6 linked regions of the Macaca fascicularis genome follow. The protein of the gene in region 5 purifies or fractionates together with the protein of the main gene of each other region. This does not show direct contact. Links are inferred from orthologs where the notes say so. Each region holds a gene or a part of one and is shown on either strand. Other genes may lie near its edges.

Region 1 (3,500 bases), on a different chromosome or scaffold from region 5:
ATGGATATATTATATTTGCCTTGCATATCTATTGAATCAGATCACACGTAGGGGTAACAAGTTCCCTTTAACTTTTTTTTTTTTAATGGAAGTATAAATCTTCATTGTATTGAGTGATTAAGAGCAGGGATCATCAGACTTTTCTGTAAAGAGCTAAATAATAGATATCTCAGGCTTTGTGGACCATACAGTCTCTGTTGCAACTGCTGAAGTCTGCCATTGTAGGACAAAAGCGTCCTTAGACAATTCGTAAATGAATGGGCGTGGGTTACAGTAAAACATCATTTATGAAAACAGGCAGTAGGCTGGATTTGGCACTAAGGTTGTTGTGAAGACTGAGAAAACATGTATACAGCACTTATCACAATTGCTGACATATAGTAAGCATATTTTATAATAAATGTTATAACTTGTCATTGTTAATACTGGAATTCCATTTAACTAAAGGAAAGTGGAGTCAGAGTCCTGTACACTTTCCTTAGGCCTGTGGCACGATAGCCGGCTTATTAGCGTGTGTCTTTGGCTTCATATTTTGCAAGATCCTAACAACCATGTTTTGGTTTTCAGACACGTTATTTTGATTTTGATTCATTAGACACAGGGGTATTATCAAAACCTTAGGGGCCGGGCGCGGTGGCTCAAGCCTGTAATCCCAGCACTTTGGGAGGCCGAGACGGGCGGATCACGAGGTCAGGAGATCGAGACCATCCTGGCTAACACGGTGAAACCCCGTCTCTACTAAAAATACAAAAAACTAGCCGGGCGAGGTGGCGGCGCCTGTAGTCCCAGCTACTCCGGAGGCTGAGGCAGGAGAATGGCGCAAACCCGGGAGGCGGAGCTTGCAGTGAGCTGAGATCCGGCCACTGCACTCCAGCCCGGGCTACAGAGCAAGACTCCGTCTCAAAAAAAAAAAAAAAAAAAAAAAAAAAAAAACCTTAGGATAGACTCTTCTCTGTATCCTTTCACTGTTGGTGTTCAAGTAAAGCACATAATTGTATGTTGCATATCCTGAGCTCAACAGGCTTATCTTTTACTTATCTCAGCCTTTTATCTCAAATGAATGATGAGTTCATCAGTCATGTTCTCACCAGTATTAATCTTTCCAGCCCAGCAGTCAGGATTGTGTCTCCTGGTTCCAAGGTGGGAGCGGGCACCTTGGCTTTTAATTCCATTGGGTAGACTCTATCAGTGACTAAGATTTGTTACATCTGATGTTGAATGAAGTCAGATATTTTATTATTGTCAGAGTCTTAGGAAAACAGAGGACATAAGGGATGTGGAGAGTAAGTAGGATAGATGATTAAGCAAAGGAATTTAGAAAGTGTTTCTCTTTACAGGGAGTATCGTCCTGAATATGAACGTCTGAAAAAATCACTGGTAAGAAGGGAGGCTGTTTGTATATTTTAGAAGGGCCATTAAAAAAACCCAGCTCAATCCTGATGACATAAGTGCTTTTGTTTTGGTTATTAATGTATCTTTTATTTAACTAAAAAAGTTTTTTGTAGCTTTATTGAGGTACAATTGACTAATGAAATTTCAGTGTATCTTCTAAATACTTGTTAATTTAAATTTGTACATTTGTATGTATGTTGTCTGGGTGCAGAAAGGCTCCTTAATGTTTCTTCCCTCTCAGAGGTCAATTTAAAACTAGTTGTAGAATTTTGTATAGAGTATGGTGGTGATTCACAACTCCTTTTTTCGTTGTTGAGAAAGGGTCTCACTCTGTCACCCAGGCCAGAGTGCAGTGGCATGATCACGGCTCACTGCAGCCTCAACCTTTTGAAAGGCTTAAGCAATCCTCCCATCTCAGCCACCCGAGTAGCTAGGACAACATGTATATACCACATGCCTGGCTAATTTTATTTTGTAAATTTTTGTACAGACAAGGTCTCACTATGTTTTCCAGGCTGGTCTCAAATTCCTGAGCTCCTGCGATCCTCCCTGCTGGGCCTCCTGTAGTACTAGGATTACAGGCTGAGCCACCATGCCCAGCCTTCTCTTATCCCAAATGATTGAGTGTCCTGCTTCCATAGGCTCATTGGATCCCTTGTCTTTGAGCCTTCCTGCTATGTCTACTTCAGGTTTTTGTGTTTTTTTCCCATATAATAAATTTTATTATATCTTTTGTTTTTTCATTTTGTAGGCTGGGGATGAATAAAAAGAGTAATGCTTTCTATCTAGGCATTTTGCCTAACCAGTTGAAATGTTCCAGTTTAATTAACAGAGCAGGAGATCCACCCTGGACTGAACTCAACACTTTGGAATTGAGGGTTCTTTTGAAATCTTTTTGTGTTCAGTTTCTGAATCCTTTAAATCAGTCTGCAGAGCTCTCTAGTCTGAACTTCTGCTGTAACCCAGGTCCACGCTACTTAGTGTTTCTGTCCCTATACCGGACGTCCCTTATCTGCATCAGTTTTTATGTAGCCTCTAGTATTTGTATAATTCTTCGTCTCCACTGAGAAGTCTGGCATCTAATTTGGGACTCCTTTTTGAATATGATGACATTTTTCTCTATATATACAGGCCAGTGCAGAGAGCCAACAGCAGAGAGAACAACTGGAACGCCTTCGAAAAGATATGGGTTCTGTAGCCTTGGATGCAGGGACTGCCAAAGGTATTGGAGGGTTTCTTGGTGTTAGGAACTAAAAAAAGGTTACACTTACTTATTTCTTTTTTTTTTTTTTTTGAGACCGAGTTTCGCTCTTGTTGCCCAGGCTGGAGTCTCAGCTCACCGCAACCTCTGCTTCCCAGGTTCGAGTGATTCTCCTGCCTCAGCCTTACTGAGTAGCTGGGATTACAGGCATGCGCCGCCACCCCTGGCTAATTTTGTATTTTTTTTTTTTTTGAGACGGAGTCTCGCTCTGTGGCCCAGGCTGGAGTGCAGTGGCTGGATCTCAGCTCACTGCAAGCTCCGCCTCCCGGGTTCGAGCTATTCTCCTGCCTCAGCCTCCCGAGTAGCTGGGACTACAGGCGCCCGCCACCTCGCCCAGCTAGTTTTTTGTATTTTTTAGTAGAGACTGGATTTCACCGTGTTAGCCAGGATGGTCTTGATCTCCTGACCTCGTGATCCACCCGTTTCGGCCTCCCAAAGTGCTGGGATTACAGGCTTGAGCCACCGCGCGCGGCCCCTAATTTTGTATTTTTAGTAGAGATGGGGTTTTTCCATGTTGATCAGGCTGGTCTCAAACTCACAACCTCAGATGATCTGCCCACCTGGGCCTCCCAAAGTGCTGGGATTACAGGCATGAGCCACCACGCCTGGCCGGTTACACTTATTTCTACTCAGCAGAATTCTATTTATATATGAGAGAGATAAAGAGAAAAAGATAAAGGAAATGTGGTTATATATATACACACACACATACACACATACACACACATATATACACACACAACACACGCATATGCTTACATATATTAAAAAATAAAGGATTTGGAAAGGCAAACAACTGGAAATTATATATAGCTGTATCACTTTGGATTCCTCTTTCAGGAAGTTT
Region 2 (4,137 bases), on a different chromosome or scaffold from region 5:
CTACAACTCCTGGACTCAAGCTGTCTTCCCACCTCAGCCTCCTGAGTAGCCTAGGACTACAGGCAAGCACCACGACACCCAGTTTCTCTTAACTTTTTGAGTTTAACAAATATCATGTTCCTGTTATAGGCCTGTTTCCGATGGTACTTACACATTGGTTTTAAATTTATGCAGCTGGGGCACTGGATTTTTGGCTCGCATTTCTAGCACTTCCATGTAATGAGGCTTCTTCTGAGTCCCACTAGAAAGGTCTGTCAAGTTCTTAGTACTTGCGTTTTCTTCTGACTGTTGTTCACCTTGGTCTGCAATAGTGATCCTCTGTAACCTGTCAATAAACAGGTTGTCAAAGCTGCTGGAAGTATCTTCTGCTTGACTTGAAACACGACGCTGCGGGTGATGCTCACTAGCTTCAGATGAAGACGGTACCCTGTCTCTGTTGCTGGAAGCTGGGCCCTTAATCACTGTGTACTCAACCTCTGGAGTCTCTCCATCACCTTCATGAGTAGGATGTCCAAGTCCCTGGTTTTGTGAGGTTGTTTTAGATGACTTGATATTATCTACAGAGGAACACCCAGGAACTAGTGATGAAGTATCAAGTATCGGGTCAGAATTCTGGGCCTTATCTGTACCCACATCAACTTCTGCAATTGCTTTTTGCCTTAGCTTACAGTCTAAACTAACAGGGTGAAACAGTTCACTTTTTCTTCTAACTTCTTCATGTTCTGCAACAGCAGCTTTCAGTTTGGCAACAGAGTCAAAGATCTTTTTACCTTTGTCGGGCAATTTGCAAATGAATTTTCTGTCAAATGGAAAAGAATACATACACATTACAGCCATGTTTTTAACTTGACATATAACATTAAAAAGGCAAAGCATTATCTTCAAAGAAAGAAAAGCTGATTTTTAAGTCAAATATCTGATTTCTAACTGCCCCAAAACAGGAATAAAACAAATAAAACGGTCATTATCCAAACAGCACAAAAAAACAAGGGAATGCTGGAATAGGGAATATATGCCTCATTTGTCTCAGCAAATTAGAATTTCGGCAAAAGTATTTTAAGCATGTAATAATCACATAAGACATTCTAAGAACCAGCAGTCATTAAAGTGCAATCCCCACAATTTGGGGATGGGGTGGAGTGTGGGGATGGGCCTATTATTTTAAAACTACTTTCATAATAATACTAAGATGTTATTTCCCTCTCATTTTCTCACATGGGTACGGCGGAGTTTTCCAGTGGCTACATGACATATGATGACATCATTGTTCTAGAATAGAATGTGTGCTTGTGTATGCTTATGTTTTAAAGACTTCAGCTGTATTTCTGATAAGTAAATAAACTTCACTAGACAGAACACATAAAATAGTTCTTTGGGATGTCAAAAAATCTTAAAGTATAAAGGAGTCCTGAGACCAAAAAGTTAATTCACTACTACAGATTAAAAACCTATTCTCACAAGGTAAAAACACCTGCCTTGATCCCAATCAATTATTTATTTGTCCCTTTTGCTAGATGACAGAGTTCCTTTTTTGATTCTCTTTTCTTTAATTATACAATAAATGGAGAGAAAAATCTTAGGTCCTTTGTTCTTTTTGACACTACATTCATTCCCACTATTTCAACTATTAACAACACTCTACAGCTGAAATTCCTATGTTTTCTATATTTTTCCAGAGTTCTCTCTTTCTTGAGCCTAATGACAACTTCTCCAGCTTTTAAGTGTTTGGTTTTCAATTAGTCAAATGTCTGTCCCGCTCTCCCCTCAACTCTGAACACCCTACGTAAAATCAACCACGGATCTATTCCTCTCCCTGAATATTCCTATTTTTGCTAGTGGTCTTCCATACAAATTGGAAAACTCAGCCATCTCTGTCAACTACATTTAAATGACTCTATGCCTAAAAGTTCTCCCAATCCCTTCCTAGTTCACTTTCTTACAACTGTCTCGTGGGGAGCCTCTCTGAAAATAGCCATCTACTGTCTCCCGCTTTTTATTCCTTCAAACCATCTTTTGCAACAAGCTGCTAAACAAAGCTGCCTGAAAAACAAAATCACTTTTATCACGTGGCTCCCTTGCTAAAATCCGTTAAATCAACCAGCTGACTGGGGGTTGAACTTTCCCGGCCTAATAAACGCCTCTTCATATCCCACTCTTCCCATTTCCTACGGTTCCTGTAAGCGTAGAATCCAGAGACGAAGCTGACAATTTGTTATGGGTTAGGGGTGCGGGCGACAAAAGGGTTTAGAATGAAGACTCTTGCTTCATGGAACTAACACAGTCCCCGGGCAAATAAAACCAACGAGGGGCTACTAACTGCCTGCAACAATAAGTAGCCGTTCAGTCCGAGCCATCCTCGCAGGCCTACGTGCCTGGCCAGGAAGAGGCACGGCTCTGCGACAGCAAGCCCTCCGTCCACTCGCCCGTAGGACTGAGGCGAATGTGACTGAGGCAAGGTCACCTTCCAGGGAAGGAAACAGAGTGGGGGAGGGGAGGGGAGCGCCCAGGGAGCTCGAGCTGAAGGAGCCTGGCGGAGACTCCGCGGGACCCCAGCTTACTCGTTGCGCAAAAGTCTCTCCTGGCGCTTCAACATTTCCCGCAGCTCCACCAAACTCCGCTGCCCCAAGTCCTCGAGAGCTTGGGGCTCGAAGCCGCGGGGCAGCGAGGACATTCTGCACAGGCTGAGGCTGGCGCGGCGGCGGGCACTCGGCTTCCTCGGCAGGCCCCGCTGCTAGCGCCGGATCCGCGGACTGCAGTGACTCCGGGGCTCGAGCGGGAGTCGCCATTTTCCCGGAAGAACGGGGTCTTCCTCGAGCCGAATCGAGCTTTATTGAAATGCCGGAAACAAACACGGACCGGGAGAAGGGGGCGTCCGGAGGAGCGCTAAAGGACGGAAATTACGTCGGAGGACGCCGGCGCCTGGGTTTGGCGCCCTTTCCCCTCGTGTGAGCGTTCATCCGGTTGTCAGCTGTTCATAGGTTTATACAAAAAGTATTTGGCGCCAGCGTGACCTCACCAAGCACTATGTGTTAGTCAACAAAGAGCCACGTCCTCTGTTATAGTTGGGGTTTACAGAGTTGGCGCGGGGGACGGAGGGACGGAGAATCAAATAATAATATAATAGTGACGTTGGGGTGGGCACCTGGGAAGGTATCTCTGAGAAGTGAAATACAAGTCGAAACCTGAAAGATGAGTTGGCCGTTAATAAGGTAGAGGAGAGTGCGGGACAGGATTTGGGAGACTCCGGCCTGTGTGTGGTGCCTCCTAGCTCAGCTTAGGGACGTCCTGAAATGTTAAAGTTGGAAGGTTCCTTAGAATCAGCAATTCTTTTCGGGGCTCATTGCATTTGGAGCAGGACTTCATTTGTGGCACTGCCTCAGGCATTGTTAAGACATTTGGTGTTTCTGGCTTCTGCCTGCTAGGTGCCATGGCACTCCCAAGTAATTGCAAAAATCCAAAATGTCTCCCCCAACATACATTTCCAAAGGCCCACAAGAGGTGATGAGGGAGTGGGAGCAGCTGTACAAACTGGTTGAGGACCTTTTATAATTTTCTACTTTGCCTGTAGAAAAAGAGTCATGAAAACTGAAATAAATATTCCCAGGGCACAAAACCAGTAAGTGACAGCACCAGATTTCAAACCCAAAAGCCCAGCGGCTTTTCCAACACACCAATTTGAAAATTCCCTTCTTCACTTTAGGCCTATCTCCAAATGTGCAAAATTGTTGAAAAGACTTTTTTTTTTCTTTCCCCCAGCTGTTGAGAAGAAGACAGTTTAGTAAGTATTGGACACAGCTTTTAGTTTCTTGTTATAGTTCACCTACCAGAGATGCATCCCAATGGAAACAGTAGGAAGACATGCAGTCACAGCAGATATCACTTGGGAGGTTTGAACACCCCCATAACCTCCAAAACTACTGCCCTCCCCCGATTTTTTTATATAGGAAATTGAAGTTGTCTCAATCCTATGTAAGATGCTATATTAACACAAGCAGCTCCATCCCAAAGAGACAGAAGATCTAGGTAAACTCCAAAGCTATTCCAGGGAGCACAATTGCAACCATTTTTTTATCCCCCCAATCTAGTCCATTCAGATCAGATTCATTAGTATATCAAAATAAGTTTTCTCTGTATAAG
Region 3 (4,286 bases), about 6.1 Mb from region 5:
TTTTTTCAGGGTCCAGAAATGGCATGGACACCAGGCACTCCTGGCTTGCTGTGTGATGAGGCACTGCGTTTCTCATGGCCTCAGTCTGCAGCTGTGAAATGGGGCAGTAATAATCCCATCCATACAAAGGTTGCTTTGACACTCAAGTAAGGCAAGGGGTGTGAGGGGTTACAAGAGGTCAAAAGGAGAGAAGAAGAAGCTGGAGTCAGAGAGGCAAAAGATCAGAGTGATAATACCAGTTCTGCTCTTTAGACTTTCAAAGTCCTTTCCCAGCGCCTTTTACAGCCCTGTGGGCTCAATGCCTCCTTCCCCTCTGACCTCCTGCCTGCTTCCCCCTGCCCATTCTGTTCCACATACACTGGCTGTTCCCTCTGCCTGGAACACTCTTCTCCTAGGCATCCACATGGCTCACCCCTCACCTTCTTTTCAAAGCCTTACCTCTCTCTGAGTTCCGTTTTTTTTCCAGCTATCCAATGAGGAGTTTGGGCATGAAGACCTCGTGGGAACTCTCTGGTTCTGATGGTAACCATTTTCCATCTTCCTGCCTCCTCTGGGAAGTCCTACCAATCCTACAACCCACACCCGTTTGCTTTTCTGAGCTACCATTTCATTGCTTACTGCCCATAGTTTTCAAGTCTGTTCCTTATGTATAGGCCAGTTACTTTGGGCATTGGGTCCAACACAGGGGCTCAAGTGAACTCTGGTTAAATGGAATTAAAAGTGATAAAGTGATTACTGCTGGAGTGCAGTGGTGCCATCAGAGCTCACTGCAGCCTCCACTCCCCAGGTGCAGGTGCTCCTCCCACCTCAGCCTCCTGAGTAGCTGGGACCAACAGGCGCGCCCCACCGCACCCAGCTAATTTTTTTTAATTTTATTTTTTATTTTTAGTGGAAACGGAGGTTTTACTGTGCTGGCCAAGCTGGTCTCTAACTCCTGGGCTCAAGTGATCCCCCCGGGCTTTGGCCTTCCAAAGTGGGATTACAGGCATGAGCCACTGCGCCCAGCCGATTCCTACTTCCTTCCGATTCTGTGGAGAGACACTGAGGCGGATTTTTATTCATCCCCTTTTTATAAATTAGAAACTGAAAGTGTCAGAGATTAAACATAAGTCACACTGCCACATGGGCCTTCTTGGTGTTTCTTAGCCAGGGGAAGAATCATATTTCCCAGGTCCTGATCACTACCTGCCATTAATTGTCGGTGTTTCCCACTGGAATGAAGTTCCATGAAGGCAAGGATTTTGTTGTGCTCACTGCTGCATCCTAAGCACCTAAAACTGGTTGGCACATAGTAAGCGCTCAAGAAGTGTGAACCGAGGAGTTCAGAGACAACCCACGGACTGAACTCTCTGAGCCTGCAGAGGGCGCTCCAGCCCCGCCCCCAAAGCTAGGCCCCGCCTCTCGCAGCCGGCTGGCGCACGAGCGTTGGAGCCTGCGCACCACCGTTCTTTTAACTGCGCAGGCGCGCCGGAAGCCCCTTGAGAGCGGCGCATGCGCAGCGGGAGTCGAAACGGAGACCCCCGGGGTCGCACGACAGCCGCAGGAGGAGTTGGTGGGCGGTATGCTATCGCCCGAGGCGGAGCGAGTGCTGCGGTACCTGGTAGAGGTGGAGGAGCTCGCCGAGGAGGTGCTGGCGGACAAGCGGCAGGTGAGAGGCCCGTCCGCGGCGCTGGGGCCTGGCGGCCGGCGCCGTCGGAAAGCCCGCGGGGTCGCGGAGAGTTGACCCGGACAGGCGGTTAACGGCTCCGAGGCGACAGACGTGGGCCAATTAATATTCGGCCGCTACTAAGCGAGCGCCTGCGCTGTGCTGGTCATTCCTCGCTCTTCATCTTTTCTCTGCCCCTTGCCATGCTCTCTGGATCTCGACCCATCATGCTCTGGGCGGTTTCCTGAGCACCTGTTTCAAAATGCACTTCCCGGCCCCATGGTTGATCTGGGGGCACCGCCCTGTAAAGGCCCTCGGGGAGAGCTAGAACCGAAAAGAGGCCTGAGGGGGCCTTGTGACTGGGAGGGGGTGGGGACCTGGGGGAAGGTGGCGCCCTGTTTATGGGGTGCCTTGTAGGGGGTTTGGGTCAGGCTCTAATTTAAGTGCCAAGCTTTAGAAGGGAGTTCCTTGGGGAAGGAGGGTGACGTAATTGGATTTAGGTTTTAAAAGGATCCCCCGGCTGCTGTGTGGAATACAGAATATAGGCGGGCAAGGGTGAAGGCAGGGAGACGGGTGAGGGGCCATTGCTATGGTTCAGACCAGAGATGGATTTGGACTAGGTAGTGGTGGTGGAGAGAAGTGAAGGGGTCAGAAATGTATTTTGGAGACAGACTCAGTAGGCCGTGATAGTGGCTGTGTAAATGGGTGAGGGAGCCACGGGAGTCGTGACTCCCTCTCATCTCCAGTTAGAAGGGTCAGGTATTTACTGAGAAGGGGAAAACTTGGGCAAGAATCTGTCAAATTAAATACTGGATCAGGGTGTGCTGGATGAGAATAATAAGAGCACTTAAAGTTTATCAGCAGGCCTGGCGCGGTGGCTCACGCCTGTAATCCCAGCGCTTTGAAAGGCCGAGACGGGCGGATCACGAAGTCAGGAGATCAGGACCATCCTGGCTAACACGGTGAAACCCTGTCTGTACTAACAATACAAAAAATTAGCCGGACGTGGTGGCGGGCGCCTGTAGTCCCAGCTACCCGGGAGGCTGAGACAGGAGAATGGCATGAACCCGGGAGGCGGAGCTTGCAGTGAGCCGAGATTGCGCCACTGCACTCCAGCCTAGACAAAAGAGCGAGACTCCGTCTCAAAAAAAATAAAAAAAAGTAAAAATAAATAAATAAATAAAGTTTATCAGCTACTTACTATGTGCCAGGTACTGTGTTAAGTCATTTAATTGCTGGCTCAATAACCTGTGAGGTAGGTACTGTTTGTAGCTCCATTTTGAGGAGGAGTAAATAGGAAGGTGAAATTACACAGCTTGAGGCAGACAGCAGGATTCGAACTTGGGTATTCCAGCTCCAGAACCAGCACTCTCGTGCAGTATACTGTACTACTGCTTCACTTCCTTAGTAGCTATTGTGTTGTTACCACTGTCTCAGTGCCCCCAATCCTGCTGTTCCAATCTAGTACTGTTGGGTTTCTCATATTACTAGTTCACAATCAGCTGGAGAAGTTTGTCCAAAAATAAACATTAGGCCTGCTTAATCACAGTGTGTAGGGGAAGGGTTTCCACTCCCCCGGTGATTCTGACATGCCCTAAAGTTCGAGTGGATAATGCAGAATTTCCCGTTTAGTCAGCACATGTTTTCCCAGCATCTTCTCTGGGCAGAGGGCAGCTGCACACAGCATTGTCTTTCAGACCAGGAAGCTGAGTGAGAAGAAATACATTCACACATCAATCCATTTTAGGCAGGACATTGGATGTAACCAGGAATAATTCATTGTCTCTGCAGCTGTTGTCTGTCAAGAGGTGACAGCTTGGGGCAAGAGATAGCTGAGTTCCCTCCTGTCCCTGTGGTTTTCAGATTGTGGACCTGGACACTAAAAGGAATCAGAATCGAGAGGGCCTGAGGGCCCTGCAGAAGGATCTCAGCCTCTCTGGTAAGTTGAAATTTTCTCAGTGCAGCCCTGGAGGCCTGTTCCATTTTCCTTTAAGGCCTTTACCTTGTCCCTGATAGAGATCAGGCAGGAGGTCACAGCTGTATAACAGCCTTGTGGGAAATTGAAACAGTCTGAGGAGATGGGGGAGCAAATTTTGCAGTTCTGGCACAAACTGTGGTTCAGGATTTTGCCTGCTCACTTCAGTGACTGGTTGTTAGCTCCTGGCTTAGCAACAATGGCAGACACTGAGAGAGTGTTGGGGATGTATGAAACTGATGGTTCCTGCCCTTGTGCTTTACAGATGAGGAAAACAACGTAAAATGTGTAATTGAAAGTTGTAAGAAAGCCAAAGATGGAATTGGACTTGGGGTGGGTGTTGAGAATATATATCTGGAAGAATGGGAACCCTTTAGATGAGGCCGAGTGGCTGTGGCAGAGGAAGCAGATGGGGAGTAAGTATGGCTGGAGAGAGGGGCAGAGACCAGGCCATAATGAAAGGTCTTGGGGGATAAGGGAGGAAGTTTACATTTTGTTGAAAGTGCACTAGAATGTGGAGAATCTTCCAGTTGCTTCTCATCTCATCTGAGTAAAATCCAGAGGTCCTGCAAGACTGAGTAATCCAGCCCCCGTGAATCCATGAGTGTGCCAATATCATCTCTGCCCCTGCCCCGCCCCCCATGACTCCATCCACACTGGTCTCCT
Region 4 (2,803 bases), on a different chromosome or scaffold from region 5:
CTTGAACGTGGGAGGTGGAGGTTGCAGTGAGTTGAAATTGCACCACTGCACTCCAGAGTGAACAACAGAGCGAGATTCTGTCTCAAAATAAATACATAAATAAATACAAATGAAAGCTTAAAAAAAAAGAGAAGAGGGCTGGGTGTGCTGGCTTACACCTATAATCCCAGTGCTTTGGGAGGCAGAAGTGGGAAGATTGCTTGAGCCTAGGAGTTTGAGACCAGCCTGGGCAACATAGCAAGACTCTGTCTCTACAAAAAGTTTTAAAAAATTAGCCTAGCATGGTGGTGTGCACCTGTGGTCTCAGCTACTTGGAAGGCTGAGGTGGGAGGATTGCTTGAGCCCAGGAATTCAAAGGTACAGTGAGCTGTGATTACACCACTGCTTTCCAACCTGGGCAACAGTGAGAACCTGTCTCAAAATTTAGAAAGCAAAAAACAAAAACACAACACTTGAGGGGACAAAGAAAAGCAAGATCACTCTTTTTTTTTTTTTGAGACGGAGTCTTGCTCTGTTGCCAGGCTGGAGTACAATGGCGAGATCTGGCTCACTGCAACCTCCGCCTCCCGGGTTCAAACGATTCTCCTGCCTCAGTCTCTTGAGTAGCTGGGATTACAGGTGCGCTACCACACCCAGCTAATTTTTGTATTTTTAGCAGAGACAAGGTTTCACCATGTTGGTCAGGCTGGTCTTGAACTTGTGACCTCATGATCCACCCGCCTCGGCCCCCCAAAGTGCTGGGATTATAGGCATAAGCCACCGTGCATGACCATAAGATCACTCATTTTTTTCTAGGTTGGACTCTTCACAGAAATTGGACCCATGTCTTGCTTCATCTCTCGACATGTAAGTCTAGGCACACTGGGTGGGGCTGAGGAAGAGAGATACCCATTCATTACCATCTACTGAAGCATCCTTTTAAAGTGCTACCCTAATCTCACTTTCCTTTCAGTCCATCCCTTCAGAGATGGAGTTTGATCCTAACTCCAACCCACCATGTTACAAGACAATGGATGAGGTAAGTGGACAGAAAGAAGTCAGGAAGAGGAAGAGAGAATCAGTCATCCTGAGGGAGAATATTGGCCTGAGGATGGCCGAGCACAGATGGTCCCTGAATTACCATGGCTTGATTCATGATTTTATGACTTTACGATGATGCGAAAGTGATGTGCATTCAATATGCCCCCGGGCTTACAGTGAAGTAGTTGTGATGTAACCTCTCATAAACTGAGGAGCATCTGTACACTGTTCCCTCCTCTCCCCAGGATATTGTGATTCAGCAGGACGATGAGATCCGCTTAAAGATTGTGGGGACCCGTGTGGACAAGAATGACATTGTGAGTCTTTTCCCCACCTCTACCTATACCAGGCTGAGCGGAGAGCTGTTGGATTTCTTGCCACCTAGTTTCAGGGGGTTCTATGCTCTTCTGTCAGGAAGAAGGGATGGATGGGCAGAAGGCCTGGGGCTGCGGGGTAGAGGTTGGTTCTGTGCTCATCTTGGCTTCACTTTCTTTTTTTTTTTTTTTTTTTTGAGACGGAGTCTCGCTTTGTCGCCCAGGCTGGAGTGCAGTGGCCGGATCTCAGCTCACTGCAAGCTCCGCCTCCCGGGTTTACGCCATTCTCCTCCCGAGTAGCTGGGACTACAGGCGCCCACCACCTCGCCCGGCTAGTTTTTTGTATTTTTAGTAGAGACGGGGTTTCACCGTATTAGCCAGGATGGTCTCGATCTCCTGACCTCGTGATCCGCCCGTCTGGGCCTCCCAAAGTGCTGGGATTACAGGCTTGAGCCACCGCGCCCGGCCTTCACTTTCTTTTTACCATCTTTCCTGCAGTTTGCTATTGGCTCCCTGATGGACGATTACTTGGGTGAGTGCCTGATCATATGGGCTGGGGTTATTGCCTGGAGAAGGGTTGTGTAGGGGTGGGGAGTAATACAGGATTTAATGCCCAAATGAGAGAGAGACAGAAGAAACTTTCACGCTGTCTGGTTGAAAGATCCAGGACACGTTCCTTGGGATGAGAAGTACATGGTTGTGGCTGCCCCCAAATTCTGGGTCTAACTGATGCACTTTTTCTGGTTTCACAGGGCTTGTAAGCTGAGCCTAGTGGCTTCCTACCCTTGGTCCTGATGTAGGAAGTGTGATTGTCACACTTACCGTGTTGTCCAGAGGTCCAGTCTGGCTGCTGTTGTGGAGGCAAGGAAGGCAACTCATTCCAGAAGGCATCTGGTGCTTCTTTTAGCTTAGCTACTGCCTCCTGATTTTTCAGTATGTGTTCTAAGTATAAAAAGTCCTTGGTTCTCATGGAAGTGTTATCCTCTTTTTTTTTTTTTTTGGCAGTAACAATAACTCTTTAAGGAGGCTGTGGAGTTGTCTGCTTACTAGCCCCTCTTTCTTATACTGATGCGTCTGCTATCCTCAGCCACCCAGGGGAGCTGACTAACCCATTTGTCCAGGTTTAAAGGTGACCTCATTGAAGTCAAGGCTCTGATGTTGGGTCTTTGGCTTCCAGCAAATGATACAATCATTAGCGGCATTCTGAGTACTGATATAGTTCCAGAGTGTTTGCTCTTCTCCTGCCCTTAAAAGTAACCAAGAGCATAACTGGGAAAGAAGGGAGAGGAGACAGCAGACAGGGAGAGATGAACAAGAGGCTAGTAATGACACAGGCTATAGGATCTCAACACAGCCCTTCCTAAGATGGGTATATAAACAACAGTGTATCACTATACTACACTGAACTGAAGATGTAAAAGGGCTCAGAATCTAGTTAGGGTACAAAAATGTATGAAATACCTACAGGA
Region 5 (4,184 bases):
TGCAATAAGAGCAAAAGCAGGTATCAATTAGAAGAACGTCTCCTAAACTACAGTCTGCCCACAACTAGGAAGTTATACCACGATCACGAAATTTTAAAACTCTCTTACGTCTATAACTTAACTCCCTACCATCACCCCTGTGGCAGTAAGAAAGATATTTCTCTCCTGCTTTGATAACTGGGATTTAAACACTCAAAAAAAAAAGGGTCAAGGTTTAGAGTCTCACAGAGTGTTTTGTTTTGTTTCAGACAAGAGTCTTGCTCCGTCGCCCAGGCTGGAGTACAGTGGCACGACCACAGCTCACTGTAACCTCTAACTCCTGGGCTCAAGGGATCCTCTCGCGTAGCTGGAACTACAGGTGAGCGTCACCATGCCTGGCTAATTTTCGCTATGTTACCCAGGATGGTCTTGAACCCCAGTCCTCAAGCTATCCTCTCGCCTCGGCCTCCCAAAGGGTTGGGATTACAAGCAAGAGCCATTGCGCCAGGCCTCAAATAGCGTGTCTTAACATGAGGTCAGCAGACACATTGGGAAGGGTAAGTTAGTTCCCTCCACCTTTTCCCTAAAGTTAACACCTCACTTAAGTTCGAAAAAGTCAACTGGACCCCCAGAAGGCAAGAGCAGCATGTAATAACACCCTGAGAACCCACTTAAGAGCTGAGAGCCCAAATGTGTTTCATGACGGCGCTGTTACAGACTAAAAGGTCAGAATCGGACATTAAAGGGTGCTCCGGAAGGCTGAGTAGGAGCTCACCAGGTGAGAAAGGGGATGTCACTTTCGGAGAGAGAACGAGCGCCAGGGCCTGGAGGCATGAAAAGGGCACGTGGGTGGCTTGGAAGAACCAAAACTAAGTGTTTTTGGGGACAGCCAGAGAACCGAACACGTACGGAGGAAAGGTGCGGCCTGGGGCCCGCCAGATTAGAAAGGAAACCCCCCTCCCATACCCATATCATGATCTCTCAGCCTCAGTGTCCCCTCAGGATACCCCTCTACGGGGTCCCAGCTGTTGGGCTCCCTCTGGTTCCCGCCACTCTTCCCTTACCTCGTCTTCCAGCCTTTCCCTCACTCTCCCGCCTCCTCTGCCTCGCCGGAAGTGACGCGCTAAGTAGCGCGCCGTACCGCGCCAGAAAGGTTCCGAGGGAGCGGGAAAAAGGGTTCCGGCGAGATCCACTGCGCAGGCGTGCGGGCTTGAGCGGTCAAGGCCCTTTCCGGGGGCCGGGGGAACTACGTTCCTTCCCTCGCTCTGTCTCCTTCGAAGTCGTCTGCGCGAGGTTCAGACAGGCCGTCGCCTTCAAAGGGACGGTTTTCTAGAGCTCCGACGCCTCTCGGTGCCCAGCTGCTCTGGCCCTTGCCCTTTGACCCCGCTCTCGCGGTAGGGTGAGAGGTCGGGTGGCCATCTTGTGGCGGCGGCGCGGGCGGCTGTTACTGCGGAGACCCATCCCCTCCCCCTCCTTGCCCCCCTGGCCGTCTGTCAGTCGGTAAAAAGTCCCGCAGCCTGTCAGGTGAGGTCCCGGCCTCGTGCCGTCGCTCTTCCCGCCGCACTGGGCGGCCCAGGCCGCTCCCTGCCGGGCCTCACTGCCGCCACCATGTCCTCCTTCTCTGAGTCGGCGCTGGAGAAGAAGCTCTCGGAGCTGAGCAACTCTCAGCAGAGCGTGCAGACCCTGTCCCTTTGGCTCATCCACCACCGCAAGCACGCGGGACCCATCGTCTCCGTGTGGCACCGCGAGCTCCGCAAAGGTAAACACCAACTCCCCACCCCTTGGACGGTCCCCGGGTTGTCCTCTCGCCCACCCACACGTTAGGCCCTTCTAAGCCTCTTCATTGAGCCTTGCTTTCCAGGCCTGATCGAGCTTCTGAGATGGGAGACAAGGTTAGCCCCATTTCTCGAAGAAGGAAACTGAGGTCCGGGAAGGTTTAAGGTACTTGTCTGAGGTTCCACGGACTGGGACTCAGGTGTCCAGACTTAGAGTTCATCAAGCCATTTTCCCTTCAGTTTCCGCCTGACATCTGTGGCTGTTATTATCTCGGCTGCATTCAGCGCCGCACTGGCCCTAGCACGTCAGGCCCAGTGCTGGGTATTTGGAGTAAAAGCCAGTGGGCTCCGGAGTTAGACTCCGCAGATCGAGTGCTGGCTGGCTCAGCGACTTGCCAGCTGAATAATAGTGGGAGAGTTTCTTCATCTCCCTGTGTCTCTGTTTTCTCATCTGTAAGAGGGAGGCAAGGATAGCTACCCCCTACAAAGCCTTTACTCCATACCAGTCACTATCCTAAGACCTTTGTATATATATCCTCACACTCAGTCCTTAGAACAGCCCTGTGAAGTAGATAGTCTTTCCCGTCTTAGGTTAAGGAGCCACCCGACCCAGACCTTACCTCTCCTCTCCTCTCATGCAGCTGTCATTGATTTCAGGGCCTGCTCAGGTTCTGACAGACATTCATTGAACTCAGTCTGTTATGTGCCAGGCACTGGCTTGGACACTTATAGCGTGTTGCCTCTGCCAACTGCCTAGAATTTAAGTCTGACTTTGCCGCCTTACTGACCCCAGCAACTTAACCTGTCTGTCCCTTCATTTTCTTATCTACAGAATGGATAATCGATACTTACTATGTCTTTATTACATGCGAAGTGCAGTACTGATATCTTTACATACATTGCCATCAAAAAAAATTATTGAAGCCCTATAAAGTAGGAACTTTGCAGAAGAGGAAAAATTGAGACTCATCTCGTGGTGAGAAGTAAACAGGATAATCCAAATGAACATTTAGCACGGGGTCAGGCACATTGTAGGCATTCAACAGATTATGGTGAGATGAGACTTTTGATTACTCACTCACTGTGAGGCATGGTCTTTGCCTTCAAGTTGCTTACGGTCTGGTGGGGAAAGATGGGCACCTGCACTCCCTGATGAGTTTCATAATGGAAGACTGAAGAAATGAAGCTCCGAGCTGCTCCGGACACCCTATATGTGGTAGGCCTTTATAGCAAAGGAAGTGGCTTTACAAGTATTCTCTGCTATCGGTGAGTTGAGGACACCACAGATGTCCTGCTCTACAGGCGAGGAAACTGAAGTGGCTAAGTGGTATTTTCAAGGGTTTTGAACTGTTGAGGCTCAGACTACATCAGGCTGGCAAACACCAAAATCCATGATTTTTTTTAGAAGACCCAGTTCTAGCCCTTTAGCAGGGACCCTCCAAGTATTGCATACTGTACTAAGATAGGGATCCCCGCAGCCTTTCGGGCAGTTGCGGGGAGAGGTAGAGCCTGGAGTTTATGGGGCCTTCTTCATGTACCCCAGTGTGCCATTCAGAAATTATTTGTAGAGTCTGCTGAGATGTGAATTGCCACTGTATAGAATTCTATTGGGTGGGACCTCAAAAGGCAGTTAAAGTCCGTCTCAAGTGAATGTACGGGGTCTCGCTCTGTTGCCCGTGCTGGAGTGCAGTGGCACAATCTCGGCTCACTGCGAGCTCCGCCTCCCGGGTTCACGCTATTCTCCTGCCTCAGCCTGCCCAGTAGCTGGGACTATAGATGCCCGCCACCACGCCCGGCTAATTTTTTATATTTTTAGTAGACACGGGGTTTCACCGTGTTAGCCAAGATGGTCTCCATCTCCTGACCTCGTGATCCTCCCGCCTGGGCCTCCCAAAGTGCTGGTGTTACAGGCGTGAGCCACCGCGCGCAGCCAGGTGTCACTTCTTTCGTGACTCTTTCTTGATTCTTCACCTCACGCTAGTTGAGTTACTGAAAAAAAGCAAATTAGAGAGTACATTTGAGTATGAAGCTCCGTTATCCCTAATCTTATATGGTAGAGCCTTATGTTGCAAGTAGGCCAGCATTATTATCCTCATTTTATAGATGAGATGATAAAGGTATAGAGAGATTAAATGCCTTGTCCAGAGACATATAGCTAGGACATGAGCCCAGGGCTGCCTGATGCCAAAATGTGTTCTTTTTCAAGTACTCTGTGTCTCGGTGCATTTAATAAGTGAAGGTGGTCACCTGACCCCAACCAAACTGTAGTGCTTTCATTTATTAGAATTAATGAGTGCCTTCCACCCGTCATACCAGTTTAGCATTTGATTTGTTCCTACTAGCTGTTCATTTGAACTGGTTACATCTTTGTCATTAGATTATGTTTTGAGGGAGAAACTAGACCTTCTTGTTTATTTGTAACACCACAAG
Region 6 (4,115 bases), on a different chromosome or scaffold from region 5:
ATAGGTACATGCGATAAAATGGTTCCTATAAGGTTCATATAATAGTTACGTAAAGACTCTTGCAAACTATAATGTATTATGCAATTTTAAGATTGTGTCATAGCTGGCGAAAATGAGGTCACATCTTCCCATTCTGTTTTCGCTTCGAAAAATTTTATGAGGAAAATTTCCTTTCACTTCTTCATTTATTTCCTTTTCCTCTAACCTAAATGGTCAAGCGGCTGTGAATGTTATCTTCCAAGGGAAGCGAGAAATACGGTTTGGTCTCGGAGTCTGCGTAGTGAATGGCTCACTGGAGCTGGCGCATGCGCATCTTTTGTGGTGCTGCAAGATGGCTGCCAGCCATTTTGTCGCGCGTTGCTTCCCCGAGGAGTTGGGGGCGATGGCTGCAGCCGCCAAAGACTAACAGTGGGCTCAGTGGTGGGAATTTTCTGTCTCTCTTGTGTGAGCTGAACACACCCAAGAGAGCGACCAAAGCAGCAAAAAGCGGGGCGGAGCGGTGGAACCCCCCCACCCCCCGTCTAACCTTAGACCAGCTTCCTCACCCATCCCTCTTAGTTTTTCCTTCCATCCAGCTACACGCTCATCTTCTGCGCAGGCGCACAAATAATCGTAGCGCCTCCTGGGTCCTGGGGGCTTCAGAGCTCCTGCGCGCGCTTCTGGTTCTGCACTCCTGATTGGTCAGATTGCCGCGCCATCACACCTCCCTCTGCTTTCAAGGTTGAGAAGGAAGCAGGGATGGGGGGGTGGGGCTAAGCGGCGCGTGCGCGATACTGTTGCTGCCCCTGTGCTGCTATTGCGTTGCAAAAAAAAATCCTGACTAGGTAGCCTTGGACCTTTTCTGTGCTAGCCAGTCTAAAGGAGAGAAAGATTTCTGCAACTGAAGGGGCAGTCGGGTAGTATTAAATTTAAGATATTAACCCCTGACCTGGCTCACAGGAGTGTGGGGATAGGGGCGGGGAAGGGCCTTAGCACTGAGAGCCGAAAAGTATAAAACCATTAGTTTCGGCGTCAGGCGGTTTGAAAGGTTCTGCAGGTCCTGTTTTCTGCGTAATTTTTCCGTGATTACTGACTGGTTTAAACACGACCCCTTGAACAATATTGATAAAAACCTCTGAGACCCGCAGCCCCTCCTTGCAGCGTGTAGGAGCTGCCAGCGTGCCCAGCAGCTGGTGTTCCCGTCCGTACCTCCAGAAGAGCCCAGCGCGTGCACCATCCCCACCCCCTAGCCTCCCTCCCCACCTACGGCTTTCACGCACTCGCAGTGATTGTTTTGCCCGCTCCCGCCGCCGCCGCCGCCGCCGCCGCCGCCGCCAGAGGAGCAGCAGCGCTTGTGCAAACCGGGAAGATGGCGGCCGGCGGCGGCGGAGGCAGCAGTAAGGCCTCCTCCTCGTCGGCCTCTTCGGCAGGGGCTCTGGAGTCCTCGTTGGATCGAAAATTCCAGTCGGTAACCAACACCATGGAATCCATTCAAGGCTTGTCGTCTTGGTGTATAGAGAACAAAAAACACCACAGTACTATCGTCTACCACTGGATGAAGTGGCTCCGGAGATGTGAGTGTTGGGGGTGACTAGGGAAGGGAAGACTGGGGAAATGGAAGGAAGTGTGGCCCGAAACGCCTGGGGTTTTCCCACGGAGCCTCAGCGTTTGGTTGGGATTGTTCACATTAAAGGTTTGACCCTAGTGTTCCCAAACCCAGACTCCATTCCTAGCCAGGATTGTCTTGAATTGCAGGAGACTCATTTCTTGGGTTTTTTAGCTATTGAATTGTTGTGACCTTGGGCCGTTGGGCCCAGATCCATAGAGATTTACGTATATATATTTTTAATATTTCAGAACCTTGTAAGGTGTATTGATTTTTCCGAACCTTCGCGGAAATTGTAGCGTCTGTTTATTTCTTACAGGCCTTGACGTGTTAGTGATTTCTGGCTTTCCTGATGGTAGGCAAGCTGTGGTTTTAAGCAGTAGTAAATCCAGTGATGTTTAATACGGAGTGCCTTGTCTGGATGAATGTATCTAAAACTTGTGATGTGTAGTAAGGAGAGCCTTACCTGGATGAATGTTAAGAAGCAGCATGAGCTCTGCATAGATCTGAGGCACCACCGGGTTTTACCTGTACCTGTGTTTGCTGCAATATAATACAGGTTTCTTGTATACTGACCAGAAACAACTGCGATACTGTAGTCATAGTCAGTATCATCATTAATACCTTAAAATATAAATCGTGTCCAGTTATTATTATTTTTTTTTTTGAGACGGAGTTTTGCTCTTGTCGCCCAGTCTGGAGTGCAGTGGCGCGATCTCGGCTCACTGCAACCTCCGCCTCCCGGGTTCAAGCGATTCTCCTGTCTCGGCCTCGCGAGTAGCCGGGATTACAGGCGCCCGCCACCATGTCCGGCTAATTTTTTGTATTTTTAGTAGAGACAGGGTTTCATGTTGGCTAGGCTGTTCTCGAACTCCCGACCTCAGGTGATCCACCTGCCTCGGCCTCCCAAAGTGCGGGGATTACAGGCGTGAGCTCCCCCGTGCCCGGCCCCGTTACTTTTTAATTACCTGAAATACCTTTTTATACAATTGAGTTGATCTCATGGGTAATCACAAAAGGAAATGTGCTTTTTGAATATGTAGTACCTTTTTCTTCAGTTATGCCTTTTTTGTCTTTATCCTGGAGATTTTTCCATTTTGCTGCTTTACTACAGAAATGAGCTCTGTTAAAGCATGGATTGTTTGCAGAAGGTTTCAAATCTTACAGGAGGAAGTGTGGAGAAGTCACTGTTTCCTGCTGAGAAGAGAGGGTTAACTCTTACTCCATATATATCTATTAGAATTTTTCTTTGCTTCCTGCCTGCGGCATTTCACCAGTGAGACCCATCATCCAGTTATTCTGCCTTATTTCACTTTTGCCATTGCTCCTGTAGTGTTTTGATTTGTTTACCTTTTAGAGAACAGATAGATAAAGTTTGCAAAATTATAGGCCCCATGCTTCAAACTATTTGTGTTTAAAGTTTTGAGAGGGATGTTTTGTGGTTCTTTGAATAATAATGCAGAGAAATTAGTAGATACAAGACAGAATTACCTGTGTTTACCAATAACAGATCAAATAGTTTTCTTGCCCAGAGATAAAATTATAACGTGCAAAAACATCAAATATGCTAACAGTCATCATCGAAGACTCACATGTTAAGTATCTGCTATGTGCCCAGCCATCTCATTGTACCTTAAAATCGTCTGAGAAGTAGATTTTTTAATCACTGATTTACAAACGAGGAAACTAAGACTCAGAAATTAAGTTGCTTAAGGTTACTCAGTAAAATGGTGGGGTTAGGGTTTGACTTCAGCATTAACTTTGTAAAATAATGTTTAATGTACTTGGTACACCAGTGATATATTGCAAGCAGTTCTAATGTGAGTGAGAGAACCTATTCTCCACCCTATTTTAAAACATTTTTACTAAACTATACAAGCATTTTACATTTCCTCACCTTGGGCTCTGGGGCTTTAACTGTATGGTTACATCATTTGCAAGAATAAGTTGGTCCCCGTCCTGTCTCTGCTGTGTGGGATCACCAGTGACAATTACAGTTTTTTTTCTAGTCAGCAATAATGAGATATAATGAAGCCAGAATTTTTTACCTCAGCTGTTGTTGCTATTGTGCCTGAGCTTATTTCCTTTGTTGATATCTTAAGAGTGAAAAAATGAATGCTCCAGGAGGGCAGTGTGTCAGTTGAAGTGCATTGTGTGTAGTTTATATAGTTAAGTGCTTTTGGCTAAAACAACATCATACATTGATGTTGTTTTTCTAGCGGAATGGAATTTAACTTTCTAAAATGATTAAGGGTAATTTTAGTCATTTTGTATTTACATTTAATGAACTTCATTGATCTCACTGTAAATAAAGTGTTTTGAGAGAAATATTCAGCAGAATGGTGTGGGGCGCAATGAAAACAGTTTATGCATGGGCCTTGTTTTCATTTAAGTTATTTCTTTACAGTTATACTTAGTTTAGTTTGAGTTTGGTTTCTAAGTCAGCTTTAGGAAAAATTGTGAAGTAGGTATCTTTGTCATTCCCAGCCTTTCTGTTCATTTTCCTGATGCCACTTTGCTTATCTTTTTT

Evidence for each region.
Region 1: the proteins of RPRD1B (region 5) and GPN1 purify together in Homo sapiens (affinity purification with mass spectrometry; 3 studies listed by BioGRID and IntAct, counting the BioPlex papers as one, with this or other methods). This does not show direct contact. The link is inferred for Macaca fascicularis from reciprocal best matches to the Homo sapiens genes RPRD1B and GPN1.
Region 2: the proteins of RPRD1B (region 5) and POLR2M purify together in Homo sapiens (affinity purification with mass spectrometry; 3 studies listed by BioGRID and IntAct, counting the BioPlex papers as one, with this or other methods). This does not show direct contact. The link is inferred for Macaca fascicularis from reciprocal best matches to the Homo sapiens genes RPRD1B and POLR2M.
Region 3: the proteins of RPRD1B (region 5) and PDRG1 purify together in Homo sapiens (affinity purification with mass spectrometry; 3 studies listed by BioGRID and IntAct, with this or other methods). This does not show direct contact. The link is inferred for Macaca fascicularis from reciprocal best matches to the Homo sapiens genes RPRD1B and PDRG1.
Region 4: the proteins of RPRD1B (region 5) and POLR2G purify together in Homo sapiens (affinity purification with mass spectrometry; 3 studies listed by BioGRID and IntAct, counting the BioPlex papers as one, with this or other methods). This does not show direct contact. The link is inferred for Macaca fascicularis from reciprocal best matches to the Homo sapiens genes RPRD1B and POLR2G.
Region 6: the proteins of RPRD1B (region 5) and RPRD2 purify together in Homo sapiens (affinity purification with mass spectrometry; 4 studies listed by BioGRID and IntAct, counting the BioPlex papers as one, with this or other methods). This does not show direct contact. The link is inferred for Macaca fascicularis from reciprocal best matches to the Homo sapiens genes RPRD1B and RPRD2.

The regions. Positions count from the first base shown.
Region 1 is NC_088387.1:94,592,648-94,596,147, reverse strand, and holds part of GPN1 (GPN-loop GTPase 1), read left to right. Parts: intron 1-1,337; coding exon 1,338-1,377; intron 1,378-2,135; exon of another isoform or gene 2,136-2,264; intron 2,265-2,523; coding exon 2,524-2,614; intron 2,615-3,500. UniProt on the Homo sapiens protein: Small GTPase required for proper nuclear import of RNA polymerase II (RNAPII). May act at an RNAP assembly step prior to nuclear import.
Region 2 is NC_088381.1:34,165,849-34,169,985, reverse strand, and holds the start of POLR2M (protein GRINL1A), read right to left. Parts: upstream 2,801-4,137; 5' UTR 2,672-2,800; coding exon 2,559-2,671; intron 800-2,558; coding exon 152-799; intron 1-151.
Region 3 is NC_088384.1:88,038,866-88,043,151, reverse strand, and holds the start of PDRG1 (p53 and DNA damage-regulated protein 1), read left to right. Parts: upstream 1-1,486; 5' UTR 1,487-1,561; coding exon 1,562-1,648; intron 1,649-3,508; coding exon 3,509-3,584; intron 3,585-4,286. UniProt on the Homo sapiens protein: May play a role in chaperone-mediated protein folding.
Region 4 is NC_088388.1:11,288,832-11,291,634, reverse strand, and holds the end of POLR2G (DNA-directed RNA polymerase II subunit RPB7), read left to right. Parts: intron 1-795; coding exon 796-846; intron 847-952; coding exon 953-1,018; intron 1,019-1,265; coding exon 1,266-1,337; intron 1,338-1,832; coding exon 1,833-1,866; intron 1,867-2,086; coding exon 2,087-2,100; 3' UTR 2,101-2,303; downstream 2,304-2,803. UniProt on the Homo sapiens protein: Core component of RNA polymerase II (Pol II), a DNA-dependent RNA polymerase which synthesizes mRNA precursors and many functional non-coding RNAs using the four ribonucleoside triphosphates as substrates.
Region 5 is NC_088384.1:94,152,385-94,156,568, forward strand, and holds the start of RPRD1B (regulation of nuclear pre-mRNA domain-containing protein 1B), read left to right. Parts: upstream 1-1,384; 5' UTR 1,385-1,587; coding exon 1,588-1,738; intron 1,739-4,184. UniProt on the Homo sapiens protein: Interacts with phosphorylated C-terminal heptapeptide repeat domain (CTD) of the largest RNA polymerase II subunit POLR2A, and participates in dephosphorylation of the CTD by RPAP2. Transcriptional regulator which enhances expression of CCND1.
Region 6 is NC_088375.1:110,894,860-110,898,974, reverse strand, and holds the start of RPRD2 (regulation of nuclear pre-mRNA domain-containing protein 2), read left to right. Parts: upstream 1-1,315; 5' UTR 1,316-1,348; coding exon 1,349-1,553; intron 1,554-4,115.